4 linked regions of the Anolis sagrei genome follow. The protein of the gene in region 4 purifies or fractionates together with the protein of the main gene of each other region. This does not show direct contact. Links are inferred from orthologs where the notes say so. Each region holds a gene or a part of one and is shown on either strand. Other genes may lie near its edges. The genes, in order: LARP1, MRPL3, CHCHD2 and YBX1.

Region 1 (7,532 bases), on a different chromosome or scaffold from region 4:
GTGTGTGTCTCTCTCACATTCAATTATGTGAGAAATGCCATGCGTGCTGATATGTTATGCTCTTGGCATAGTTTTACTATAAAGTGAGAATGAGGTCTTGGTGGCTCTGATCACAAGCTATTATAAAGGCATTATAGGTTGAGTAAGTATCCTTTATCAGGAAAACTGAAATTCTCCAAAATCTAAAATTATCTCCATGGGTGGCTGAGATAGTGACCTCTTTACATTCTGGCAGTTCAATGTGCACAACATTTGTTTCATGCACAAAATTATGTGCCTTCGTCTGTAAGTCGCCCTGAGTCCCCCTTGGGGTGAGAAGGGCGGGGTAAAAGTAATTGAAATAAATAAATAAATAAATGTATAAAATTACCTTCAAACTATGTGAATAAATGTAAAATTTAAAAAAAAATCAAGCTGAAACCATGGATCCAGAGGGTTGCCTCTATCTTAATTCAAGAGGAAACAATTGCTTCTCAAGTTATGAATAAAATGGAATGCTGGATGTGTGTTTTCTTCACTTTACCAAAAGGCATATGGAACTGGCCATTCTACACTCATAGCACTTATAATACATATGAAATGGCAGCCACAGAGAATGGCAGTTTTTTAAAACAACATTCTGGGAAGTGCTTACTCCTCCTTCAAAATTTCCAGCAAAGAAGGCTCTACTATAATATGTGTCTTATGGTCACACTATAGATTACTCTTGAATCCTATGGAATTAAGAAAACAGAAACTGTTTCTGAGGCCCCTTCCACAGAGCTCTATATACTAGGATCTGATCCCAGTTTAACTGTTTATCCCAGATTATGTGGCAGTGGAGACTCATACTGTATAATCCAGTTCAAAGCAGATAACCTGGGTTAAATCCTGGGATATAAGGACAGCGTAGATACAAGGGCCAGGCTTAGTACAGCAGGCTAAACTGCTGTGCTGCAGAAAAATCAGAATGTTGGGGTTGAGCACCCGCCATTAGCCCCAGCTCACCTGCATACCTAGCAGGTCGAAAGCAGAAATGTAATCAGATAAAATAGGTACCGCTTTTAGCAGGGAGGCAATTAAGGCACCCTTAAGGACATTGATTGGAGGAAATCTCCTTGGCATGGATGATGGAAAGACAGCATCCTCCTCCCCATGGCTGGAGTCCAAAATGCCAGAAATAAGATGAGTAAAATGGGCTTTACCTCTGTTTGTGCTGACTGTCCTTGTTAATTGTATAATCAGCATTGAATGTTTGCCATATGTGTGTTCTGTAAGCCACTCTGAGTCCCCTTCGGGATGAGAAGGGTGGGTATAAATACAATAAATAAATAAATAAATGTAGAAAGGGCCTGAGGCTATATAAAATCCAAATTCTACACACTGTATAAAATCCAGATTATCTGCTTTGGACTGGGTTATATGGCAGTGAAGACTCAGATAATCCAGTTCAAAGCAGATAATGTGGATTATCTGATTTGATAATGATTATATGGCAGTGTAGAAGGGGCTTACGGTGTAATTTAAAAAAAGGGGGGGGGGAAATAGTACGTATGTCAGGTGTTATTGGAGGCTGGGCACTCACTGAGTTGCAAGTTACCTGTTGTTGTTTTTTTTGCATATTAGAAAAAAATGCTTAAGAATTGCCATTGTCTTGCTTTATATGTTTCTTTTCAGGTTTTTACTAACAAAAACGGGGTCCTGTCATTTATGAGACATCCCATGTGTTTGCTTGTTCATATAAGTAACAAAAATGCCAAGTCATGCTCAGGCCTTGTTTATGGTGATCAGTGATGCCTACAAAAGTTTACTTGTTAAGTGTTATCATAACTCATTATGGACACAAGAGGTGAAACGGTCACATAAAGAATCCTTTCATACTACACATAGTCATACTGCCAATTACACTTTAACCACCATAGTTCCTTCTTATGAAATCCTGGGATTTGCAATTTAGGGAAGACTATTTTGACCTCTCAGCTGGAGAGCTCTAGTATGGCTGATCTGAAATGGGTTTAAACAATTGATTTTAGAGATAACTGATTTTAGTGTTTGTGTATATTGTGTATATTTATAGTTTATTTTGTTTCGGCATTGAATGTTTGCCGTATATATGTTGTGCTGCACCCTGAGTCCCCCTTGGGGTGAGAAGGGCGAAATATAAATCCTATATATAGTGCCTCTGTCAAGACTACTAATGCAAACCTTCCTTCATTTTTGTATAAGAATAAATACATCTACATTTGGGGTGCCACTTTTTATGTTGCATCCCTCTCTTGGCAGGGGTGTGTCTGGAAGAATAATGTAAATTTCTTGCTCATCGTGATACATTTCTGTGTATTCTTCCTGATATTGTTTCAGACGCTAGCTTTGCCATGAAAAAAATGCACACAATTTTACCACATCAGACACAAGGTAATATGAAAAGAAATCTCTTAATTAAAAAGTTTCTGATTAAAAAAATAAACGTGTTGCATACAGCTATGCTGGATCTATCCTCAGGGCTGTTTGACCTGAAATGTCTGTTGTTTGAAACTGACACATACGTCCATATTGCTGTGTATACAAGAGTTCAGAAACCACTGCTGATTTCTAGTCAGTGGTGTCTTGAATTAGCCGGTTTCTCTCCTTTCTCCTCTCTCCTCCCCCCTGCACTGCTTGACATTTACAGTGTAAGTTCCTTGGAAGCAGTCTTTGCGAAAGGCCATGTAACTTGAATAGGCAGCGAGGCAGTCCAATAGCTAGGCCTGGGATGGCCCATATTCAAATCCCCAGTCAGGAGGGATGGCTGTATGTATGGGTGAAACGTAGGGGAGAAGCATGTGGGTCTCATCACACTTGAGCATTTTCCCACTTCAAATGGTGTGACTGCCTCCTGCAAAATGCTGGGGTTTGTAGTTTAGGAGGCAGTCACAGCATTTAAAGTGGATTGACGTGTGATGAGGTTCTCTCAGAAAAAAAATATACCACACATATAAATAAGATAGGTTGAGGAAACTACAGGATGTCCCTAATGCACTTTATGAGAGAATTAGAATTGTCTGCACACCCTTTTATTTCCAAAATATTCATTCTACCTCACCTGGACATGCCCAGCATTTTTAGAATTTTAACCATTACATTTGGCCCTGCCACAGGTTTTTAATATTGTCGTGTTTTTTGTTAATGTTCTGCTTTGTTATGAGTTATTTATTTTTGCATTGTATTGTTCTTGTTGTTTTTACTAATGATGTACTTTGGGCTCGGCCTCTTGTAAGCCGCATCGAGTCCTGCCTGCGGGAGATGGTAGGGTTTATTGTTATTATTATTATTATGTGCACATCTGTACTTTAGAATTTTTATGTTAATGCTATTGGCATCTTGGGAGCTGTAGTTTTACGAGGTCTCTAACCTTCTCTGCCAAAAGGTATCTCACCAAAGGGGAGGGAAAACTTTGGATTCAAATGGAGGCAACTCTCTTTGGTCAAAAGACTCGGTATAAACATTCTTTTGCTGTCAAGACAACACAAAACTAGAGGAGCCTAGAGCTGAAAGAAGAGTAGGCCCTGCCTCCTTCCCACAGGCCGAGGCCTACCCGCTGAGAGACGAACAGTAGACTGAGCCCACTGCAGCTTAGGCTACCCACATCTTTTCCTCACTTGGTCCTTTAGTTTTGTGAGATGCTTGGCCTTGTCCGCCACAATAAACTATAACTCCCGGGGCTCCCATACCATCGAGTCCTGGCAGTTAAAGCGGTGTCAAACTGCGCTAATTCCGCCGTGGTTGCTCCACGTTCCCTTCGCAGGCTGGTACTCGAGAGAGAGAGAGAGAGAACGAGCGAGCACCAACCCGGCCCTGCGACCCTGAGCACATGTTTCTGCCTGGAGCGGGGTGGGCTCCTTCCAAGGAAACAGGCCCCACGCGATCGATCGGGTAGTGGTGGCTTCAGGCCGACCTTGTCCGTGTTTTTGTTTGATTTGGAAGTCAAATAGAACTCTCCAGCTCCGCAGGGGGAGGCCTTTTTCCCCCCTTTTGGGCTTTGTTCTGTTGGTTCTCTTATCAGAGTCAGTAGGCCCTCCGTGGAGGTGAAAGCCAGCACTTCGCTCCAGAAGGCCCTTTGGCAGCGATGAAGTTTGAAGGCAAGGCTCCGCCTCCTCCACCACCACCACCTTTCTCTCTTCCCGAGCGGCGACGCTGCCCCTTTAAGGAGCGTCTCCCTATGACACCCAGCACGCGCCGGCCCCGCCGGGGCTCGGGCTCGCGCCGCCTCTCCTGGGCGCGCTCGTCATGCGAAAGGGAAAGAGCGTGAGCGTGCGTGTGTGCGCGCGCCTGCCTGCGTGAAGGCGTCTGTGCGTGTGCGTGTGTTGTATGCGCGCGCGCTCCCTCCTTCCCCGGGCCTGGATAACGCGGGCGGAGCTGGCTGCGCGCGCGCGCTCGCTCTGGCCGGGCCAGTCGCGTGGTCTCCTTGCTTCTCCATATTGCTGCTGCTGCGGCGGCGGGGGCATTGGCATTAGAGGAGAACCGGGGGAGCGGGAGGGGAGGGGGGCGGCGAGGCGGGGGTTGGGCTTCAAAGGGAGGGGGGCGTGAGAGCAGGAAGCCGGCGTCTTGGGGCTCCCGCTGCGCCCTTTCACCGAGAGAGGGTTGGAAAGAAAGCTCTCGGGCGAGGCGGGCTTGCAAAGGAGGGAGGAGGGGGAAGCAAGCAAGCAAGGAAAGGAAGAAGTGAGGAAGGGGGAGCGGGCCGGCTCCGGGGCGCAGATGGCGACCCAGGTGGAGCCCCTCCCGCCGCCCAGCCCTCTGCTGCCTTCCGAGGAGCACGGCGGCGGGGGCGGCGGCCTCGTCCTCAAGAAGTCCCCGGGAGAGAAGGGAGAGCAGCGCCTCGCGCCCCGCGGAGAGAAGGAGGCCGACGGCGGTGGCGGCGAGGAGGAGGAGGGCGGCGGCAAGGAGGGCGGCGGGCCCGACAGCTGCTGCAGCAGCAAGGAAGGCGAGCCGCATCCGCGCCGGAACGGGGCCCTCCTGAAGCCGCCCAGCATCAAGCAGCAGAAGGAGGAGAGCAACAACCAGGAGAAGGAGAACCTCCTGCAGCAGCGGAGCAGCAGCGAGACCACCACCAGCAGCAGCAACAGCAGCTCCAGCGGCGAGGAGGGCGGCGTCGGGCGCAAGGAGTTCATCGAGGCCCCGCCGCCCAAGGTGAACCCCTGGACCAAGAACGCCCCCGCCGCGCTCGTCGCCCTCAACGGGCAGTCGCCTCCAGGTGGGTCCACACGGGGGCGATTGGGGGAAGACAGCCAAATAAGAGCCTCCCTGGCCTCCTCCTGCAAGATGGTGACATTCCCTCGCCCGTCAAACTCCACCCCGCCTTTGTCCGGCGGCGCCCACCCTGCCCTCCTCTTCTTCCTCCCCCTCCGCGACCCTTATGGAAATCTTTTGATAGAGTATCAGAAGTGGGAGCCAAAGGGGAGGAGATGGGGCCATGCGGGCTTGGCGTGATTCAGACATCTTGGAGGGAGGGGGGAGGGAGAGAGAATGGGGCGGGTTCGCAGCCCGAACAGCGCCCCCTTCCTCCTCCTCCTCCCCCTTTCCTCGTGTTTGGGAGCCCTTCCTCCTCCTCTTCCTCCTCCCAGATTCGCCATTAGAGGTTAAGCTGTCCCACCACGTTTTAACGAGCGCGTGGGGATTCCCCTTCCTGCTCCCTTCCCTTTTATTCCCCACGCTGCTTCCTTTCCTTAAATATAGGTAGAGCCCTCGTTAAATGGCGTTGGGGCGGAGACTAAGAAGAAGAGGGGGAGGGGAGGCACCACGACAGCGGAGGGAAGGGGCTTGCAATTCGTTTCCAATCCATTTTGTGTGTGTGTGTGGTGTATTTTGCGCTTTTTGGAGACACGATGAGTGTATTTTGCGCTTTGGGGCGAGAGCGGGCGGGTCTGCGCGCGAGGGCCATGTGCCTTGGCGACTTCCTCCTGCGGCTTTAAGTAAAGGGAGGGAGGGGGCGTCGGCAGTTCTCCCTCCTTCCCTCTCTCTTCCCCCCTCCCTCCCTCCCTTGGTTCCTTTCCTCCCTCCGCAGCGCTCGAGGCGTCCGCGTGCAGGCGGCGGTTTGAGCGTTCCGTCGCCTCCTTCCTAACGCTCCTCCGCCCAGTGGGGCGCCCCCCCCTCTGTCCCTGTGCGCGCGCCTGTGCGTTCTGAGCGTCCTTCTCCTCCCCCCTCCCCCTTTCCCTTCCTTCCTTCCTCCCTTTTCTTCCCTTTCCCGGCATTCCTCTGCAGTAAAGGCAACGTGGTTTTCTTTCGGAGCGAGCATGTGACGAACACTCTCATATAGCCGGGGCCTGGCTTGTTCTTTGGACCTGGTAGCCGCTTCTCTCTCTGCTCTCCCCCCCCCCCCACAGTCCCAAATCCTGGGGGGGGGGGAGAGTTTCCCCACCCCCCTTTAGGGCCCCTTCGACTCTGAGGGCGGAGGTGGCAGGGAAGCCTACGTCAAGGGCGGGAGGAGGAGGAGGGGAGGTTGGTTGGAACGGCTAGGCCTCTCAGTTGGGCGAGTGTCTCAGCTAACGCTTTCCGCGTGGGCTGCCGACTTCTAACTGTAACGTATTGCCGTTCGTTTTGCGGGGAGGGCGGTTTTCCCGCAGCGGGGCCGCGCGCCCTGCCCCCCCCCCCACCTTCCCACCCTTCCTGTCTTGGGGGGAAGGGAAAGGAGGTGAATGCAGGACAAAGGTCTTCCAAACGTCCACGTGGGCTTAGCCCTATGTAGGTTAACTCAACAGGGCTTTTCCATTTTGTTTCTATTGAGTCAGTATTTAACACTGAAAGTCGTTTTTATTTACCTAGGGCCTGAATCAAATCCCACATTATCGACTTTGAACTGGAATATATGGCAGTGTGGGCTCAGACTGAATAGCAGAATCAAATCCCACATTATCTACATTGAACTGGAATATATGGCAGTGTGGGCTCAGACTGAATATCAGAATAAAATCCCACATTTTCTACTTTGAACTGGAATATATGGCAGTGTGGGCTCAGATTGAATAGCAGAATAAAATCCCACATTATCTACTTTGAACTGGAATATATACATATGGCAGTGTGGGCTCAGATTGTAGTGATCCTTCAAGATAACCCAGTTCAAAGCAGATTTTCTGTCTTGATACTCTGAGTGTGTGGAAAGGCCCTAGTTTGTTATACTCTGCCCTCCCTATCCACGGATCCAATGACCCACAGGTTGAAAAATACTACCCCTTGCTTTGCCCATTTTGTATAAGGGACATCATTTTTCTAACCGCTTCATCATCCATGTATCAACCGGAGTCATGGAGCCATACCCCAGAGCACACCACTGTAATTGGAGTTCAGTGGGAGGGCAGTGCCATTTTGTGAGTAGGGTTGATAAGCTGTGTGAGGCTTATGCTCACTTCAGTGTGAATGTAACAGCAGTCACCTGCTCACCATTTCGCATAAATAAAATCAGGACTTGAGGACATGCTAGTGCAGGCATGGGTGTTTTGGACTTCAGCTCCCACAATTCCTAACAGCTGGGAGTTGTGGGAGTTGAAATCCCAAAACACCCAGAGGGCCCAAGTTTG
Region 2 (7,040 bases), on a different chromosome or scaffold from region 4:
TAATCCGCCCTGAGTCACCTGCAGGGTGAGAAGGGTGGAATATAAATACTGTAAATAAATAAATAAATCTATGACAGGCATCCTCAGAGGTTGGGAGACCTCACAACCTTTGGGGATGCCTGCCATAGATGTAGGCAAAACATCAGGAGAGAATGCTTCTGGAACATGACCATACAGCACGAAAAACTTACAGCAACCCAGTGATTCCGGCCATGTAAGCCTTGTATCTCCAATCCTTGTTTCCACAGCAAGCTATTTTTCTTTCAAAACCCAATGCTCACAGGGACAGAAAGTGAGGTGAAATCTTCTGAAGAGGGTACACAGTCAGCAAAACAAACACCACAAGGGGTGAATTAACTGATTAACCACTTCATGAGTAAACCAGAGTTTTCTTTTTGATCTGAAGCATGTGTTGGGAATGGCGGGGTGGGGTGGGGTAGAGTGGGGGTTAAGAAACCTTAGCCACCTCTGGCTACAGGCCTGGGTGTTAACCCCATCCTATGTTATCCAAAGCTAATATAGGTATCAATTTGGCTGGAAGTACACTTAAAGATGTACTTGTTCTGACTTGCCTACAAACTGAACTTAAGAACAAACCTACAGATATCATCATGTTCGTAATTTGGGGACTGCTTGTAGTGATCAGCACTGCAAACCCACTTTCTTCAATATTGGTTTGAAAATGCCTGTGATAGGAATCATCTGAAGACACACAATAACTGTTGGGGAAAAAACCTCTTCAGCCCCTGAATGGAAAAACAAAGTACCCTGACTCAGGGCCCTTCCGCAGAGTTATATAACCCAGAATATCAAGGCACATAATCCCACAATATCTGAACTGGGTTATCTACACTGACATATGAAGTCTGATCTGGCCTGGGTGGTCCACGCCTTAGTCACCTCCAGACTGGATTACTGTAATGCACTCTACGTGGGGCTGCCCTTGAAGATGGCTCAGAAATTTCAAATGGTCCTGTGGGTGGCAGCCAAGCTACTTATTGGGACGACTTACAGGGAGCGGTCAACCCCCTGTTTAAGGAGCTCCATTGGCTGCTGTTCATTTTCCGATCCCAATTCAAGGTGCAGGTTCTGACCTACAAAGCCCTAAATGGTTTGGGACCCGTCTACCTGCATGGCCTCATTTCTGTGTACGAACCCACACGATCTCTTTGTTCATCTGGGGAGGTCCTGTTCTCGCTCCCACCTCCCTCGCAGGCATGATTGGTGGGGACGAGGCAGAGGGCCTTCTCCATGGTTGCCCCTCTACTCTGGCACTCACTCCCCAAGGATATCAGACAAGCCCCCACATTGGCAGTCTTTAGGAGGAGCCTGAAAATGTGGCTTCCCTGAATAAAGGAAACAATTCCCTGCAAATACTCTGAGAAGCACTTTAATTACCTGTTGGGTTGCTCTTTACTTTTGATTTAAAACCCTCCTAATAGATACATCCTCTGTTCATGTCCAGCATTTATTTTTAAAGATTTTAACTATTACATCTCGCCCAGCCATAGGTTTTTAAATTCTTGTGTGTTATTGTCTACTTGTGAGATATATTAATTGTATTGTTTATTTTGTTTATTGCTTGTTGTTTTTATTATTGCTTGATGTTTCTGATGTGTTGTTGGGCTTGGCCTCATGTAAGCCGCTCCGAGTCCCTTGGGGAGATGGTGGCAGGGTATAAATAAAGTTATTATTTATTTATTTATTTATTTGCCTTACTTATATACCGCTGTTCTCAGCCCGAAGGCGACTCACAGCGGTTCACAACAAATACGAACAGCAAAAATTCAGTGCTACAGTATAAAAACAGCTAACAACCTAACACATTACACAATTAATAAACAGTTACTACAATACCCATTCACTGTCGTCTCATCATTAAGAACATGTTCCAGATTCGTCATCCACTGTTCCATTCCAGTGTTCATTAACCAATCATTGCACTAATTATTTGAACGCCTGCTCAAACAGCCAGGTCTTCACTTTTTTGCAGAATACCATTAGAGATGGTGGTAGTCTAATGTCCATAGGAAGGGCGTTCCACAGCCGAGGAGCCACCACTGAGAAGGCCCTATCCTCTCGTTCCCGCCAGCCGTGCTTGAGAAGCAGGCGGGATCGAGAGCAGGGCCTCCCCGGAACATCTCAAAGTCCTGGTGGGTTCATAGGCAGAGATGCGGTTGGATAGGTAGCTTGGGCCGGAACCGTTTAGGGCTTTAAAGGCCAACGCCAGCACTTTGAATTGAGCCTGGTAGCAGATCGGTAGCCAGTGGAGTTGGCGCAACAGGGGGGTTGTATGCTCCAGTATACTCCAGTTTAGAGCAGATGTGGGATTTTATTCAGCTGTGTGGAAGGGGCCTTAGGATGCCTCTACACCAGGCATGGTAAACTTCGGCCCTCCAGGTGTTTTGGACTTCAACTCCCACAATTCCTAACAGCCTACCGGCTGTTAGGAATTGTGGAAGTTGAAGTCCAAAACGCCTGGAGGGCCAAAGTTTACCATGCCTGCTCTACACTGCAGAATGCCTTTAGTTTGAGACCACTTTAAGCGCCATGGCTCAACGCTGTGGAATCTTGGAAGTTGTTACTTGGTAAGGCACCAACCCTCTTGGGCAGGGAAGGCTCAAGTTCTTGTGAAACTACAACTCCCACGAGCCAGGGCAGTTAATAGTGGTGCCAGACTGCATCGATGCTCCCTGAAACAGCACTCTGTTGGGATTCAAGCGCCTTGCACACCAGGCTTGCTTCCTTTTCCCTGCTTTCAAAAGGCAGGAAGGCAGAGAACCGACAAGGCCTCCACGGAAGAGCCAGACCACCCGCTCTCAAGGAGATAATAAACCCCCTACCGGCTCCTCAGCCCGGCCTCTGAGACTTCCACTGCCGCACGAGCCGAAGCCAGGGCCCCTCTGGGCAACATGTGCCTCCCCAGGCGGCACAACAGCCCCGCGGCCGCCATGACAGCACCGGCAGCAGCGCTCGTTGCCGAGGAAGAAGGCCGTCCGACTCCCAAAGCCTTCCCTCGTCGCACGCGAACGTTAGTTCCGGGCGCCTTTGGTTCCTATCAGCCCCATTCTGCGGTCCCGGGCAAACATTGAACGGGGTTGGACTTCAGTTCCCAGAAGCCCTTGCCAGCTTGGCCAATACTGAGGAATTCTGGGAGCTGAAGTCCAAAAAACCCCCTTGAGGCCCGAAACTTGAAAAACACTGCTTAAGAGTACAAAAGCCTTCCAGTATTGTCTTCAGCCCCATCCACACTGTCATAAAACATTATCATCATCATCATCATCATCATCACTTTATTTCTTAATTAGTCGCTCTCCACCAAAGTGCTCCGAGCGACTTACAATTTAAAATAGCTTATACGCAATATAAAACATTCAACATAAAAACATTCAACATCATAAAAACATTCAGCAGTGACTATGGCAAAATTTGATCCGGTTACTTAAATGCACAACCAAACAGCCAAGTCTTGAGCGCCTTTACAAAAGGTCGCAACTCCGACATTGCTCTAATATATGGAGGCAATGTGTGCCGTCGTGCCTGGGGCTATAGAGAAAGAGGCATGGACGTGACTGCTTTCCCTAGGGGATTGCTTCTTGCCCTCACTTTAGGGAAACTGGAATTCCCAAGGACCAGAACACAAGTGACTCGAAATGGTGTTTATTGATGATAATTAGTTTTCTTTCTCAGGCACAAACTTTATGTTTCAACAGGGAAAAACACTTTATAACTCTAAAGCCCAGGGTCCTAGGAGTAATAAGCTGAGAAGCCTTTCCTGTTCCCTCTCTCTCAATGGCTATGGATGCCGGAGCAAACCACAACCCCAGTTCAGTGGCCTAAACTGAAGGACAAGACTTTCCTATGGTGCCAAAGAACTGGAATGAAGGTGCCTGAGGTCTTCGCAATTTCGTTCAGGAGGTTTGAACATAAAGAATAAGACTCAGGGGTCAAAACCTAAGAACTGGTAGTAAAAAATGCCTTGACCAGGGGCTTTGGGCCAAGCTTATGGACACGTCCATCCAATGAGTCTTTTACTGAGGTAAAAAAAGGTGAGGGAGAAACCTTCCCTTTCTCCCTTGGAAGGGGCGGAGCCTAAACAACTGAACTGGGGAAACAAACCAATTGGTGCACAACAACAATAAATTGACAGCTATAGTAACCAATGAAATTTAACTATACATGTACAAGGTAGACAGAAATAAAATGGCAGTTTAAAATCCTGCAACAAACAGTTCTAAATATATGAGGCGCCACACGCGCCGTCACACAATGAGTTCCACAGAATTGGAGCATAGATCGAAAAAGCTCTACGCCTTGTAGCTTCCAAATGTGCCTCCCTAGGACCCGGTATGTAGAGGAGATTTTCCTGGGTGGATCGAGGTGACCACTGATGGGGAAAAGGAATGAGGCAGTCCCTAAGATATAAAGGTCCTTGGCCATTTTGAGCTCCAAATGTCAGGATCATTATCTTGTAAGAGATCCGATGTTCTATTGGTAGCCAATGCAGTTGTTGCAGAATCGGTGTAATATGGGATCTTATAGATGATCCCGCTAGCAGTCTGGCTGCCACATTTTGAATCATCCGAATCTTCTGGGTTGTTGACTTCGGAAGGCCAGGATATAAGGCATTGCAATAGTCCAAACTCGTGGTGACTGTTGCGTGGATTACTGTTGCCAATGCTTCTACCGAAAGGTAGGATGCCAATTTCCTTGCCTGGCGAAGATTAAAAAAGGCCTGCTTACTTATGGCAGTGATCTGGGCCTCCATCGTCAGCGATGAATCCAACACAACCCCAAGGCTTTTAACAGTGGCAGACGGAACCAGAGTTTAATAGCATAACATTAGAAAATGTTGACCATTTCCGCTACCTTGGCAACCACCTCTCCACAAAAGTCAACACTGACACCGAAATTCAACACCTCCTGAGCTCTGCGAGTGCAGCATTTTTCCAAATGAAGCAGAGAGTGTTCGAGGACCGGGACATCTGTAGGGATACCAAGGTGCTTGTTTATAAAGCTATTGTCCTCCCACCCCTGCTATATACCTGTGAAACATGGACTGTCCACGGACGTCACATGCAACTCCTGGAACAATTCCATCTGCGCTGCCTCCGGAAAATCCTGCAAATCTCTTGGGAAGACAGGCGGACAAACGTCAGCGTGCTGGAAGAAGCAAAGACCACCAGCATTGAAGCGATGGTCCTCCGCCATCAACTTCGCTGGACCGGCAACATTGTCCGGATGCCCAACCACCGTCTCCCAAAGCAGTTGCTCTACTCCGAACTCAATAATAGAAAAGGGAATGTTGGTGGACAGGAAAAGAGATTTAAAGATGGGCTCAAAGCCAACCTTAAAATCTCTGGCATAGACACTGAGAACTGGGAAGCCCTGGCCCTTGAGCGCTCCAGCTGGAGGTCAGCTGTGACCAGTAGTGCTGTAGAATTTGAAGAGGCACGAATGAAAGAGTGAAAGAGAAACGTGCCAAGAGGAAGGCGCGTCAAGCCAACCCCGACCGGGACTGCCTTCCACCTGGAAACCAATGCCCTCACTGCGGGAGAAGATGCAGATCAAGAATAGGGCTCCACAGTCACCTACGGACCCACAAGAATACTGATCCTGGAAGACTATCCTACTCGGCCAACGAGGGATCGCCTAAGTAAGTAAAACATTATGTAATACGATTTTTGTTCCCAAGTTATAAAGGTCATTTCCTAATTGGTTCTATAATAAAACATGGACATGGTTTATTAAACTGCAGAAACTTTGGTTTTGCAGGACATCCTGCAGCACATTTTGCTATTAGTTTTTCAATGAATATCTAGGAAAATCATCTGATTCCTAATCCACTTTTCCACACATCTGAATAAAATCCCACATTATTTGCTTTGAAATATAGGAAGTGTGGCCTGAGGGCCCTTCCACACAGCCATATAATCCAGAATATCAAGGCAGAAAATCCCACAATGTTTGAACTGGAATATCTGAAGGCCCTTCCAGGCCCCTTCCACACAGCTGAATAAAATCCCACATTATCTGCATTAAACTGGAATATATGGCAGTGTGGACTCAGATAATTTATTTTTATTTATTATTTACAGTATTTATATACTGCCTTTCTCACCCCTGAGGGGACTTAAAGCGGTTTACACATAAATAATGGCAAGATTCAATGCCTTACGTTGAGCACTGATACGATGCCAATACAAGCAATTTTACAATAGTAAAACCACAATTAAACATAAATCAGAATTAAAACAATACATCAACAGTCTGGTTTGTTGTAGGTTTTTTTCGGGTTATATGGCCATGTTCTAGAGGCATTTTCTCCTGACGTTTTGCCTGCATCTATGGCAAGCATCCTCAGAGGTAGTGAGATCTGTTGGAACTAGGAAAAACGGTTTATATATCTGTGGAATGACCAGGGTGGGACAAAGGACTCTTGTCTGCTGGAGCTAGGTGTGAATGTTTCAACTGACCACCTTGATTAGCATATAATGGCCTGGCAGTGCCTAGAGCAATCTTTTGTTGAGAGGTGATTAGATGTCCTTGTTTGTTTCCTCTCTGTTGTTGTGCTGTTCTAATTTTAGAGTTTTTTTAAATACTAGTAGCCAGATTTTGTTCATTTTCATGATTTCCTCCTTTCTGTTGGAATTGTCCACATGCTTGTGGATTTCAATGGCTTCTCTTTGTAGTCTGACATGGTGGTTGTGAGAGTGGTCCAGCATTTCTGTGTTCTCAAATAATGTGCTGTGTCCAGGTTGGTTCATCAGGTGCTTTGCTATGGCTGACTTCTCTGGTTGAAGTAGTCTGCAGTGCCTTTCATGTTCCTTGATTCGTGTTTGGGCAATTCTGCGTTTGGTGGTCCCTACGTAGACTTGTCCACAGCTGCATGGTACACGGTAGACTCCTGCAGAAGTGAGAGGATCCCTCTTGTCCTTTGCTGAACGTAGCATTTGTTGGATTTTCTTGGTGGGTCTGTAGATAGTTTGTATGTTGTGTTTCCTCATCATCTTCCCTATGCGGTCAGTGGTTCCCTTGAT
Region 3 (6,963 bases), on a different chromosome or scaffold from region 4:
ATAATAATAATAATAATAATAATAGGCCAACAAGGAAGATGACAATGATAGTAATAATAGGATGGGAAGACTAGAGGATGGAAGTATTACTTCAGAGGGAGGCAATGGCATTCCTTGCCTGAGATAAAAATGCTACGGCTCTCCTGGAGTCATAGGTGGGACTAGATGGCCTCTGTGGTTGATTCTAGCTCTTTGGCCTTCCCCTCTGCTCTCTCCCCATTTTATGTTTGAATGACGTGAAAGCATGACTCACCATTGGCGAAGCGGCACTGCTTGAGGACCTCGCTGAACCCCTCGCAGAGCTTGAGGTCAGCCTGGTTCTGGGCGCATTCCAGGAACTGCTTCATCTCATACTGGCAAGGGCTGAACTGGGAGGACTGGGCCGCGGGCTGGGGCTCCTGGGGAACAGAGAAGACCATGACTCCCATTAGCAGATTCCCTCTATCGCTAATTAGCCCAAAGCCTTCAGAGTACTTTGAGCCAATTGAACACTGATTGTTGCAACGCATTTATTTGATCATGACACCTTGCTGGGTGGAAAGTGCCACACTGAGGGACAGTCTAGTTTTTATAGCCAACATTCTGTGCATGCGCACAACAGCTTTTTCTCTGAATTTTGCCTCATCCTTTCTCTTTGGTGCCTCTCTTATCACTGTCATCCTTTTTGCGGTACCTATTGATGTTAGGTTGAGCTTGTCCCTTGGCTTGAATTCTCCCCTCCTTTTGGGTCCTTGTTCCCTTTCGCTCCACTGAGAATACGAGACTTTTGACTGAACTGTATTTTGGCTGTTAATTTTTATTATTATTTTCCCTCATTCTAGTCCCTTCATTCCTCTCCCAAACACCTTGAGATCCAGGAAACAATACAAACAGCAACTGGAAAGGACATGCAGAAGTGGTCATAAGTATGAACCTTCTCTGGTCAAGGGAGCAGCTCTCACCTGGTATGTGATGTCGGGCCTGGCGACTTCAGCGCTACCTCCTCCTCCTCCGAAACCCCCAGTCATGGCATGGCCCAAGGTGTGCCCCACGGCTGAGCCCACCGCGACGCCAGCTGCGGTGGTGGCCATCTGGGCCATGAGGCCTGGCTGGCGGGGGGCCGGTGAGGCCATGGCTGAAGGGGGGGCGGCTGCAGGGACGGAAGAGCGAGCGGCTGGCGGAGGAGCCGAGCGCAGGGGTGGTGCAGCACGGCTACAAAGGCAAAAGAGAGAAAGCCATCAGGTCGCAGATCATTAAGTCTAGTCGTGTCTGACACTGGGGTATGGTGCTCATTTCCATTTCTAAGCCAAAGAGCCTGCATTGTCCGTAGACACCTTGTAGGTCATGTGGCCAGCATGACTGCATGGAGCGCCATTACCTTCCCTCAGAAGTGGTACTACTGATGTACTCACATTTGCGTGTTTTTGAACTGCTAAGTTGGCAGAAACTGGGGCTAACAGCGGGAGCTCACCCCCCCTTCCTGGATTCGAACTGCTGACCTTTTGATCAGCAAGTTCAGCAGCTCAGTACTTTAACCCACGTGTTTCCAGGGGCCCCATATAAATAGCTCACCCCATCTCCCCAAAGGGATTCGGATGGTTTACAACAAGCACCAATATAAAACACATAAACACAGGCCAGAAAACTCACAGCAATCTATTATTATTAATAGCAGCAGTAGTAGTAACATATTATTACAGAGGCTAGATGGTCAACTGTCGGGAATGCTTTGATTGTGTCGTCTTGCCTATCAGAAGGGGTTTGCACTGGGTGGCACTTGGGGTCTCTTCCAACTCTATTATTATTAGTAGTAATATTATTGGAGCCCTCGGTGGCACAGTGGGTTAAACCGCTGAGCTGCTAAAATTGCTGATCGAAAGGTCGCAGGTTTGAATCCTGGGAGCGGTGTGAGCTCGCGCTAATAGCACTTTTATGGATAGGTTCTTGTAGGTTTTTTCGGGCTATAGGGCCATGTTCTAGAGGCATTTCTCCTGACGTTTCGCCTGCATCTATGGCAAGCATCCTCAGAGGTAGTGAGGTCTGTTGGAAATTTCAGCAGACCTCACTGCTGGATGCTTGCCATAGATGCAGGCGAAACGTCAGGAGAAATGCCTCTAGAACATGGCCCTATAGCCCGAAAAAATCTACAAGAACCTAGTGATTCCAGACATGAAAGCCTTCGACAATACTTTTATGAATGCCTGACATCGAATTGTCCCAATCTGTAACCCGCCTTGAGTCGCCGTATGGCTGAGAAAGGCAGGCTATAAAGATTGTAAATAAATAAATAAAAGTGAGCTTACACCTCCCAACAAAGGATTCCCCCCCCAAGCAGTAACCAGCCAGGCTTTGAAGCTGCGAGACCATTCAATGCTAACCAAGCTGGCCAATGGCAACCTTCCCACTTGCCTCAAGCAGACAAAAGTTCTTTCTCCCACCCTGGACATCATTCCAGAGATATAGAAACCTCACTTGCCTCGTTTCCAACAGACCTCACAACCTCTGAGGATGCCTGCCATTGATGGAGGCGAAACGTCAGGAGAGAATGCTTCTGGAACATGGCCAGAAAGCCCAGAAAACCTATAGCAACCTATATAACATTACTTTAATATCAATATTATAATATATATATTATACTGTAAGATATAATATTAATATAATATATTATTGATATTATATAATATATATTAATAATAATATATAAAATAATATATTGTAATATAAGATATTATTATTTTTCACTCTAGGGATTGTTCTCCTCCAGAGAGTGGAATCAGTGCAGTGTGTGGAGTGGGGAACTACAAATCCCATCAGCCCCCGCGCTGCTTCACCTGGCAGGGGGCGCCATGCGGGAGGTCCGGCTCCTGCTTCCCCTCGGCATGGTGAATGAATCAAGAACCGCGGCCTTCCTTCGTAACTCTCTTCGTCCTCGCCTTTCACCACAGCGACCTCCTTACGCTTCCGTCGTCCCTTTTCTCGATCTTTCCTTCCGCTTCCGGCGGCGTGGTTGCGCGCAACTTCCGGTCTCCTCGCGCGAAGGTCGAAAAGCCGACTGCGCGTGCGCACTTTGACGGCTCCCCTCTCGAATGCTTTGTCAGTGCGCAAGCGCAGAACTTAATCTTGGCTTTGCAATGGTCAGAATGGGCGGAGCTATCCCTTTGGTAAAGGGCGGGGCGGTTTGTATGCTGCGCCTCATGTATGGCCCTTTGCCGCCCTCCTGTGGACACAGCGAGCACTGCACTTTTAGAGCGCCACCATAGGCTTCTATGCAGACTGCTGAGCCATAGGCAATGCATTGAGAGGCGTCTCTTTGCCGCCATCAAGTGGCCAAATCGAGACATTGCAGACATTCATTATATTATTAGGACACTTTGTATGCTGCGCCTCATGTATGGCCCTTTGCCGCCCTCCTGTGGACACAGCGAGCATTGCACCTTTAGAGGGCCACCATAGGCTACTATGTAGGCAGCCGAGCCATAGGCAATGCATTGAGAGGCGTCTCTTTGCCGCCATCAAGTGGCCAAATCGAGACATTGCAGACATTCATTATATTATTAGGACACTTTGTATGCTGCGCCTCATGTACGGCCCTTTGCCGCCCTCCTGTGGACACAGCGAGCACTGCACCTTTAGAGGGCCACCATAGGCTACTATGTAGGCAGCCGAGCCATAGGCAATAATGAATGGGAAGGCGTCTCTTTGCTGCTATCAAGTGGCCAAATCGAGACATTGCAGACATTCATTATATTATTAGGACACTTTGTATGCTGCGCCTCATGTATGGCCCTTTGCCGCCCCCCTGTGGACACAGCGAGCATTGCACCTCAAGAGCGCCACCATAGGCTTCCATGCAGGCAGCTGAGCCTGTAATAATGCATAGCGAGGCGCCTCTTTGCCGCCACCCAGTGGCCAAATCGAGACATTGCAGACATTCATTATATTATTAGGACACTATGTATGTATGTCAAAGCCATGGTATTCCCTGTAGTAACCTATGGATGTGAGAGCTGGACCTTAGGGAAGGCTGAGCGAAGGAAGATTGATGCTTTTGAGCTGTGGTGTTGGAGGAAAGTTCTGAGAGTGCCTTGGACTGCGAGAAGATCCAACCAGTCCATCCTCCAGGAAATAAAGCCCGGCTGCTCACTGGAAGGAAGGATACTAGAGACAAAGTTGAAGTCCTTTGGCCACATCATGAGGAGACAGCAAAGCCTAGAGAAGACAATGATGCTGGGGAAAGTGGAAGGCAAAAGGAAGAGGGGCCGACCAAGGGCAAGATGGATGGATGGCATCCTTGAAGTGACTGGACTGACCTTGAAGGAGCTGGGGGTGGTGACGGCCGACAGGGAGCTCTGGCGTGGGCTGGTCCATGAGGTCACGAAGAGTCGGAGACGACTGAACGAATGAACAACAACAACAACACGTATGCTGCGCCTCATGTATGGCCCTTTGCCGCCCTCCTGTGGACACAGCGGCCATTGCACCTTTAGAGAGCCAGCATAGGCTTCTATGCAGGCAATGCATTGAGAGGAGCCTCTTTGCCGCCATCAAGTGGCCAAATCGAGACATTGCAGACATTCATTATATTATTAGGACACTATGTATGCTGCTTGGAGGAAAGTGCTGAGAGTGCCTTGGACTGTGAGAAGATCCAACCAGTCCATCCTCCAGGAAATAAAGCCCGACTGCTCACTGGAGGGAAAGATACTAGAGACAAAGTTGAAGTACTTTGGCCACATCATGAGGAGACAGGAAAGCCTAGAGAAGACAATGATGCTGGGGAAAGTGGAAGGCAAAAGGAAGAGGGGCCGACCAAGGGCAAGATGGATGGATGGCATCCTTGAAGTGACTGGACTGACCTTGAAGGAGCTGGGGGTGGTGACGGCCGACAGGGAGCTCTGGCGTGGGCTGGTCCATGAGGTCACGAAGAGTCGGAGACGACTGAACGAATGAACAACAACAACAACACGTATGCTGCGCCTCATGTATGGCCCTTTGCCGCCCTCCTGTGGACACAGCGGCCATTGCACCTTTAGAGAGCCAGCATAGGCTTCTATGCAGGCAATGCATTGAGAGGAGCCTCTTTGCCGCCATCAAGTGGCCAAATCGAGACATTGCAGACATTCATTATATTATTAGGACACTATGTATGCTGCTTGGAGGAAAGTGCTGAGAGTGCCTTGGACTGTGAGAAGATCCAACCAGTCCATCCTCCAGGAAATAAAGCCCGACTGCTCACTGGAGGGAAAGATACTAGAGACAAAGTTGAAGTACTTTGGCCACATCATGAGGAGACAGGAAAGCCTAGAGAAGACAATTATGCTGGGGAAAGTGGAAGGCAAAAGGAAGAGGGGCCGACCAAGGGCAAGATGGATGGATGGCATCCTTGAAGTGACTGGACTGACCTTGAAGGAGCTGGGGGTGGTAACGGCTGACAGGGAGCTCTGGCGTAGGCTGGTCCATGAGGTCACGAAGAGTCGGAGACGACTGAACGAATGAACAACAACATGTATGCTGCGCCTCATGTACGGCCCTTTGCCGCCCTCCTGTGGACACAGCGAGCACTGCACCTTTAGAGGGCCACCATAGGCTACTATGTAGGCAGCCGAGCCATAGGCAATAATGAATGGGAAGGCGTCTCTTTGCTGCTATCAAGTGGCCAAATCGAGACATTGCAGACATTCATTATATTATTAGGACACTATGTATGCTGCGCCTCATGTATGGCCCTTTGCCGCCCTCCTGTGGACACAGCGGCCATTGCACCTCAAGAGCGCCACCATAGGCTTCCATGCAGGCAGCTGGGCCATAGGCAGTGATGAATGGAAGGTGTCTCTTTGCCGCCACCAAGAGGCCAAATCGACATTGTAGCCATTCATTATATGATTAGGACACTTTGTATGCTGCGCCTCATGTATGGCCCTTTGCCGCCCTCCTGTGGACACAGCGAGCATTGCACCTTTAGAGAGCCAGCATAGTCTTCTATGTAGGCAATGCATTGAGAGGAGCCTCTTTGCCGCCATCAAGTGGCCAAATCGAGACATTGCAGACATTCATTTTATTATTATGACATTTTGTATGCTGCGCCTCATGTATGGCCCTTTGCCGCCCTCCTCTGGACACAGCGAGCACTGCACCTTTAGAGGGCCACCATAGGCTTCTATGCAGGCAGCCGAGCCATAGGCTATGCATTGAGAGGAGCCTCTTCGCCGCCATCCAGTAGCCAAATCGAGACATTGCAGACATTCATTATGTATTATTAGGACACTGTATGCTGCGCCTCACGTATGGCCCTTTGCCGCCCTCCTGTGGACACAGCGAGCATTGCATCTCAAGAGCGCCACCATAGGCTTCTATGCAGACAGCTGAGCCATAGGCAGTAATGAATGGGAAGGCGTCTCTTTGCCGCCATCAAGTGGCCAAATCGAGACATTGCAGACATTCATTATATTATTGTTCATTCGTTGTCGTCTCCGACTCTTCGTGACCAGCCCACGCCAGAGCTCCCTGTCGGCATTATATTATTAGGACACTGTATGCTGCGCCTCATGTATAGCCCTTTGCCGCCCTCCTGTGGACACAGCGAGCATTGCACCTCAAGAGCGCCACCATAGGCTTCTATGCAGACAGCTGAGCCATAGGCAGTAATGAATGGGAAGGCGTCTCTTTGCCGCCATCAAGTGGCCAAATCCAGACATTGCAGACATTCATTATATTATTAGGACACTGTATGCTGCGCCTCACGTATGGCCCTTTGCCGCCCTCCTGTGGACACAGCGAGCACTGCACCTCAAGAGCGCCACCATAAGCAATAATGAAAGGGAAGGCGCCTCTTTGCCGCCACCCAGTGGCCATATAGACACATTGCAGTCTTTCATTATATTTTGGGAAAGGGAAGGAAGGCATGTTAACAATAATGACAGAAACCACTTTTGGTCTCTATCTATATAGAAAAGCAGGGCATCATAATCGTAATTAATAATCCCC
Region 4 (7,294 bases):
TCCTAGTTTCGAACAGACCTCACAACCTCTGGGGTTTATTTGTCGTGTCAGAGCAGCCAGTCCATTATATTACATTTCTAACAGAACAAAGCAAACAAACAGAAAAATACACAACTTGTGAGTTTGGTAACTGGCTAAATGTCCTTTGACCACTATCTGGCCACTTGGAGTGCCTCTGGTGTTGCTGCAAGGAAGTCCTCCATTGTGCATGTGGCGGGGCTCAGGGTGCATTGCAGCAGGTGGTCAGTGGTTGGCTCTTCTCCGCACTCACATGCCGAGGATTCTACTTTGTAGCCCCATTTCTGAAGGTTGGCTCTGCATCTCGTGGTGCCCGAGCGCAGTCTGTTCAGCGCCTTCCAAGTCGCCCAGTCTTCTGTGTGCCCAGGGGGGAGTCTCTCATCTGGTATCAGCCATTGGTTGAGGTGCTGGGTTTGAGCCTGCCACTTTTGGACTCTTGCTTGCTGAGGTGTTCCAGCGAGTGTCTCTGTAGATCTTATAAAACTATGTCTAGATTTAAGTCGTTGACGTGCTGGCTGATACCCAAACAAGGGATGAGCTGGAGATGTCTCTGCCTTGGTCCTTTCACTATTGGCTGCCACTTCCCGGCGGATGTCAGTCAGGTGGTGCAATACCGGCTAAACAGTGTAATTTCTCCAGTGGTGTAGGGCGCAGACACCCTGTGATAATGTGGCATGTCTCATTAAGAGTCACATCCACTGTTTTAGTATGGTGAGATGTTTTCCACACTGGGCATGCATACTCAGCAGCAGAGTAACTCAGCAGCAAGGTCAGATGTCTTCACTGTGTCTGGTTGTGATCCCCAGGCTGTGCCAGTCAGCTTTTGTATGATATTGTTTCTAGTACCCACTTTTTGCTTGATGTTCAGGCAGTGCTTCTTGTAGGTCAGAGCACGGTCCAGAGTGACTCCCAGGTATTTGGGTGTGCTGCAATGCTCCAGTGGGATTCCTTCCCAGGTGATCTTCAGAGCTCAGGATGCTTCTCTGTTCTTGAGATGAAAGGCACATGTCTGTGTTTTAGATGGATTAGGGATCAGCTGGTTTTCCCTGTAATAGGCAGTAAGAGCACCTAGAGCTTCAGAGAGCTTCTGTTCAACCATCTCAAAGCTCCCTGCTTGAGCGGTGATGGCACGATCATCAGCATAGATGAAACTCTCTGTCCCTTCTGGCAGTGGCTGGTCATTTGTGTAGATGTTGAACATGGATGGAGCAAGCACGCTCCCCTGAGGCAGGCCGTTCTTCTGTTTCCGCCATCTGCTTCTCTGGTCCTGGAACTCAACAAAGAAGCTCCTGTTTGGTAGCAGGTTTCCTATGAGGCAGGTGTCTGCCATAGATGTGGGTGAAACGCCTGGAGAGAATGCTTCTGGAACATGGCCAGACAGACCGAAAAACCTACGAGAACCCAATGATTCCGGCCACGAAAGCCTTCCCAATACAGATAGATAGTAAAGGGGAGGGATTTTAAAGGCTCCTTTTCCTGGCTGCTCCGTGCCATTCCCTGTTAGTGTATTCAACCCATGTTTATGCCAATGGATATTATAGCTTATATTATGTTATTATAATTATACATTACTTTATAATTATACTATATTCATTATTCTAGACTACATTATATATTGCAAATATATTATATTTATATTATAAATACGTATATATATTAATATTATTATAAATTATTTTATTATTTTATACTATACTCATTAGAGATTATATATTATATTACATTATATTTTAATTTATATATTGTATTTATAGATCATTTTATAATTATACTACATTATAATAGATTATATACTGTCTAGATCTAGGGAAGTCATGCTCCCCATGCTCTATTCCGCTTTGGTTAGACCACACCTGGAATATTGTGTCCAATTCTGGGCACCACAATTCAAGAGAGATATTGACAAGCTGGAATGTGTCCAGAGGAGGGCGACTAAAATGATCAAAGGTCTGGAGAACAAGCCCTATGAGGAGCGGCTTAAGGAGTTTAGCCTGAGGAAGAGAAGGCTGAGAGGGGATAGGATAGCCATGTAAAATATGTGAGAGGAAGCCACAGGGAGGAGGGAGCAAGCTTGTTTTCTGCTTCCTTGGAGACTAGGACGCAAGGGAACAATGGCTTCAAACTACAAGAGAGGCGATTCCACCTGAACACGAGGAAGAAATTCCTGACTGTGAGAGCCGTTCAGCAGTGGAACTCTCTGCCCCGGAGTGTGGTGGAGGCTCCTCCTTTGGAAGCTTTTAAGCAGAGGCTGGATGGCCATCTGTCAGGGGTGATTTGAATGCAATATTCCTGCTTCTTGGCAGAATGGGGTTGGACTGGATGGCCCAGGAGGTAACTATGCTATATTCATTATTATAGATTATATTATATATTATAAATATTAATATATTAAATATGTTAATATATAAAATTATAGGTTATTATATTATATACAATATTTTCTCATTGTTTTATTATATTTTCGTTACAGATTATTATGTTATTATATATTCTCATTATACATTATTCTATGATTATTATTATATATTATTATTCTATGATTATTCTATATTATTCTTGGTTTCCCCATCTCTGGCCTTGAGAGGCTGAGCCAAGGGAAGCATGGCTTGGAAGGCCGCCTGTGGCCACGTGCTCCCCGCAGAGAAGCAGTGGCAATCCAACTTCCGCAGGCGTGGCTTCGTTGGAGCTCTCGCCCAATCAGCTGCGAGGTTCCAGGCGGAGCTTTCGACGGGCGGGGCCAAGGAGAGAGGAAGAGCCAATCGGGACAGTGGGACCTCTTGATTGGCATTGAGTGCCGCCCAATGGAATCACCCGCGGGAGGGCAGCCAAGGCCAGAGCACAGGGAGAGGAGGGATTGGCTGACTGGCAATGGGTGGCAGCCAATCGAGTGGCCGAATTAGGGATTTGATGGGCGGGATCAAGGGGCAACGTCGAGCCAATCGGGGTGGCGGGTGCCCTGATTGGCTTCACGTGCCGGCCAATAGTCGAGCGGGTGTTTGCATGGGCGGGTCCAAGGAGCGACCTAAAGCCAATCAAGGCGGGGAATTGGTATAGGTGGGTCCTATCAGGCAAAGCCAATCGAAGTGCGGGACCCCTTTGATTGGCATAAAACGACGGCCAATAGGAGTCACCGCGGGAGGGCAGCGCATGGGCGGGTGGGTCCAAGAAGGGACGTGGAGCCAATCAGAGTTGCGGACTGCTTTGATTGGCATTGCGTGGCCGCGGGAGAACAGCCCATGGCCAAGCGAGGATTTTGACAGGCGGGGCTAATGAAACCCTTGGAGCCAATCAGAGCGGCAGACCGCTTAGATTGACATTGCATGCCAACCAATAAGAGCCACCGCAAGAGGACAGCCCATGGCCGAGGGATTTTTTTGGTAGGCGGGACTAAGAAACGTCGTGAAGCCAATCGGAGTGGCGGGCCGCTTTGATTGGCATTACGTGCCGACCAATAAGAGTCACTGCGCGAGTCAAGCCCATAGCCGGGCGGGAATTTTTTGTTAGGCGGGGCCAAGGGACGTGTGGAGCTAATCCGAGCAGCGGACCGCTTTGATTGGCACTACGTGCCGGCCAATAAGAGTCAGTGCGCGAGTGAGCGGGGATTTTTTGGTAGGCGGGTCCAATGAACGTGTACAGCCAATCAGAGTAGCGGACCGCTTTGATTGGCATTAAACCCCGACCAATAGGAGTCACTGCGGGAGTAAAGCCCATAGCCGAGGGGGGATTTTTGTTAGGCGGGGCCAAGCAACGTGTAGAGCCAATGAGGATAGCGGAACGCTTTGATTGGCATTACGTGTCGACCAATAAGTCACAAGCCCATAGCCGAGCGGGGAATTTTGTTAGGCGGGACCAAGCAAAGTGTAGAGCCAATCAGAGTAGCGAGACGCTTTGATTGGCATTATATGTCGACCAATAAGAGTCACAAGCCCATAGCCGAGCGGGAAATTTGGTTAGGCGGGGCCAAGGAACGTGTGGAGCCAATCAGAGTAGCGGACCGCTTTGATTGGCATTAAGCCCCGACCAATAAGAGTCACTACGCGAGAAAAGCCCATAGCCGAGCGGGGATTTTTTGTTAGGCGGGGCCAAGGGACGCGTGGAGCCAATCAGAGCGGGGGAACCTTTTGATCGGCATGGCAAAGCGACCAATCAAAGTCCCTGCAGCCACGGAGGGTCGTGGAGCCAATCAGAGCGGGGGAGCCCCCGAAAGGGGGCGGGGAAGGGCGAGGAGCGGGCGAATGGGAAGGGCGGGCGGCTTGAGCGGCAGCGGGGCGGGCCAATGGGGCGAGGGGGAGGCGGGGGCGGGGCGTGCGGGGTGGCTAAGCCCTCGCGCGCCGCCATTGTGGGCCAGTTCGATCGGGATCGGGAGCGGAGAGCGAGCCCGGAGCCAGGGAGCAGAGACCCGCCCGCCCGCCCCTCGAGTCACCATCCGAAGGAGAAGCGGGCGAGCCGTGCCGCCATGAGCAGCGAGGCCGAGACCCAGGCGCCGCCCCCGCCGCCCTCCAACGCCTCCTCGTCTTCCTCTCCGCCCGCCGCGCCGCCCGAGCCCGCCGCCCCCGCTTCTCCCGAAGCCAAGCCCAGCGGAGGAGGCGGCGGCAACAACAATGGCAATGGCGGCGGCAATGGCGGGAATGGCAATGGCAGCAACCACCACCACGGCTCCGCAGCGCCCCCTGCCGGCGGGGACAAGAAGGTCATCGGTGAGGCACTGCGCAGGCGCGCCCCTTCCCCTCCGGCCTGCCCTGCCCCTTCCCGGGCTCCCATTGGCTCCTCTCTGCGCCCCCCGCGCCTCTGATTGGCTGGCTGCCCCTGAGCGCGTGCAGCAGCCGTTGGAGGAGGAGGAGGAGGGGGCGGCCTCGCCTCGTTTTCCCTTCGCCTCCAGCGCGCGTGCGCCAAAGCAAGGAGGCGTGGCCCAGGTGGGGGAGGGCGGGGTCTCGGGAGGGGGGAGCCGCCGGTGCGCGCGCAGCCTTTGTGTGCGTGTGCCTCCATGTGCGCGTGCGCGGGATCTGGGCAGAAGAAAGGCTTCGGGCCTACTGCTAGGCCTCACATCTCGAGCCAGCCTTTGGCCTCTCTCTCTCTCTCTGGCTCTTCCTTTCCTCCCTTATTTTCCCTTCTTTTCCTCAGACTTTCCCCCTTTCCTTTCTCTTCTCTCTTTTTTCTTCCTTCCTTCCTCACTCCCTGTCTTTTCTTTTTCTTTCCCTCTTTCATTTCTCCCCTCAGACTTTTCCCCCTTTTCATTTCTCTTCCTTTTCCCTCTCATCCTTTCCTTTCTCCATTTCTCTCTTCTTCCTTCCTTTCCCCAGACTTTCCCCCCTTTCTTCCCTTTCTCTTCCCTCCTTTTTCTTCCTTCCCTTCTCCCTCCCTTTCTCTTTTTCTTTCCTTCTTTCATTTCTCCCCTCAGACCTTTCCTCCTTTCCTTTCTCTTCCTTTTCCCTCTCATTCTTTCCTTTCTCCATTTCTCTCTTGCTTCTTCCTTCCTTTCCCCAGACTTTTACCCTTTCTTTCCTTTCTCTTTCCTCCTTTTCCCTTCAGACTTCCTCCTTTCCTTTCTTTTCCTTCCTCCCTTCTCCCTCTCATTCTTGCCTTTCTCCATTTCCCTCTTCCACCTTCCCCTCTTCTTTCTTCCTTTCCCCAGACTTCCCCCCTTTTTTTTCCTTTCTCTTCCCTCCTTTTTCTTCCTTCCTCCCTCCCTCCCCCCTTTCCTTCTCTTTTTCTTTCTCCCCTCAGACTTTCCCCCTTTCCTTTCTTTTCCTTCCACACTTCTCCCTCCCATTCTTTCCTTTCTCCATTTCCCTCTTCCACCTTCCTCTCTTCTTCCTTCCTTTCCCCAGACTTTTCCCCTTTCTTTCCTTTCTCTTCCCTCCTTTTCCCCTCAGACTTTCCTCCTTTCTTTTCCTTCCTCACTTCTCTCTCTTTCTTTCCTTTCTCCATTTCCCTCTTCCGCCTACCTCTCTTCCTTCTTCCTTCCTTTCCCCAGACTTTCTTCCCTTCTTTTTCTTCCTTCCCTTCTCCCTCCCTTCCTCTTTTTCTTTCCTTCTTTCATTTCTCCCCTCAGACTTCCTCCTTTCGTTTCTTTTCCTTCCCCCTTCTCCCTCTCATTCTTTCCTTTCTCCATTTCCCTCTTCCACCTACCTCTCTTCCTTCCTTTCCTCAGACTTTTCCCCTTTCTTTCCTTTCTCTTCCCTCCTTTTTCTTTCTTCCTTCCTCACTCCTCCCTCACTTTCTTTTTTTCTTTCCTTCTTTCATTTCTCCCCTCAGACTTTTCCTCCTTTCCTTTCTTTTCCTTCCTCACTTCTCCCTCTCATTCTTTCCTTTCTCCATTTCCCTCTTCCACCTACCTCTCTTCCTTCCTTTCCTCAGACTTTTCCCCTTTCTTTCCTTTCTCTACCCTCATTTTTCTTTCCTTCTTTCCTCACTCCTCCCTCCCTTTCTCTTTTTCTTTCCTTCTTTCATTTCTCCCCTCAGACTTTCCCCCTTTCCTTTCTCTTCCTTTTCCCTCTCATTCTTTCCTTTCTCCATTTCCCTCTTCCACCTTCCTCTCTTCTTCCTTCCTTTCCTCCTTTCTTTTCTTTCCTCCCTTCTCCCTCTCATTCTTTCCTTTCTCCATTTCCCTCTTCCACCTACCTCTCTTCCTTCCTTTCCTCAGACTTTTCCCCTTTCTTTCCTTTCTCTTCCCTCCTTTTTCTTTCTTCCTTCCTCACTCCTCCCTCACTTTCTTTTTTTCTTTCCTTCTTTCATTTCTCCCCTCAGACTTTTCCTCCTTTCCTTTCTTTTCCTTCCTCACTTCTCCCTCTCATTCTTTCCTTTCTCCATTTCCCTCTTCCGCCTTCCTCTCTTCTTCCTTACTTTCCTCAGACTTTCCCCCCTTTCTTTCCTTTCTCTTCCCTCTTTTTCCTTTCTTTCTTCCCTCCCTTATCTCGAAGCTGGGCATGGCTACTACTACTAGGCCTCACAGCTGTGCCAACCTTTGGATTTGAACAGTTTCCTGCCCTCTCTCTGTATCTATTTATTTATACAGAGATATCTCTATATCCGCTGGCCTGGGTTTAGCTTTTCTCCGTGGCACATGATTACGTTTTCTCTTCCTTCCTCACTTCTCCCTACTTTTCTTTCTCTTCCTTAGGGCCAAACTTTGTATAGTTTCCTGGCCTCCATCTATGTCTTCTGGCCTGGGTTTGGCTTTATTCTGTGGCTCTTTCTTTCCTTTCTCCTTCTTTGTTCTTTCTTCCTTTCTCTTCCCTTCTTTTTCCTCTCTTCCGCCTTGGTCCCTTCTTTCCTT

What was found.
Region 1: the proteins of YBX1 (region 4) and LARP1 purify together in Homo sapiens (co-immunoprecipitation; 3 studies listed by BioGRID and IntAct, with this or other methods). This does not show direct contact. The link is inferred for Anolis sagrei from reciprocal best matches to the Homo sapiens genes YBX1 and LARP1.
Region 2: the proteins of YBX1 (region 4) and MRPL3 purify together in Homo sapiens (affinity purification with mass spectrometry; 3 studies listed by BioGRID and IntAct, with this or other methods). This does not show direct contact. The link is inferred for Anolis sagrei from reciprocal best matches to the Homo sapiens genes YBX1 and MRPL3.
Region 3: the proteins of YBX1 (region 4) and CHCHD2 purify together in Homo sapiens (affinity purification with mass spectrometry; 3 studies listed by BioGRID and IntAct, with this or other methods). This does not show direct contact. The link is inferred for Anolis sagrei from reciprocal best matches to the Homo sapiens genes YBX1 and CHCHD2.

The regions. Positions count from the first base shown.
Region 1 is NC_090022.1:81,925,984-81,933,515, reverse strand, and holds the start of LARP1 (la-related protein 1), read left to right. Parts: upstream 1-4,522; 5' UTR 4,523-4,713; coding exon 4,714-5,209; intron 5,210-7,532. UniProt on the Homo sapiens protein: RNA-binding protein that regulates the translation of specific target mRNA species downstream of the mTORC1 complex, in function of growth signals and nutrient availability.
Region 2 is NC_090026.1:79,266,297-79,273,336, reverse strand, and holds the start of MRPL3 (large ribosomal subunit protein uL3m), read right to left. Parts: upstream 3,013-7,040; 5' UTR 2,954-3,012; coding exon 2,844-2,953; intron 1-2,843.
Region 3 is NC_090031.1:27,717,292-27,724,254, reverse strand, and holds the start of CHCHD2 (coiled-coil-helix-coiled-coil-helix domain-containing protein 2), read right to left. Parts: upstream 3,005-6,963; 5' UTR 2,861-3,004; coding exon 2,811-2,860; intron 1,192-2,810; coding exon 942-1,191; exon of another isoform or gene 822-941; intron 399-821; coding exon 254-398; intron 1-253. UniProt on the Homo sapiens protein: Transcription factor. Binds to the oxygen responsive element of COX4I2 and activates its transcription under hypoxia conditions (4% oxygen), as well as normoxia conditions (20% oxygen).
Region 4 is NC_090033.1:17,323,928-17,331,221, forward strand, and holds the start of YBX1 (Y-box-binding protein 1), read left to right. Parts: upstream 1-4,279; 5' UTR 4,280-4,294; coding exon 4,295-4,715; intron 4,716-7,294. UniProt on the Homo sapiens protein: DNA- and RNA-binding protein involved in various processes, such as translational repression, RNA stabilization, mRNA splicing, DNA repair and transcription regulation.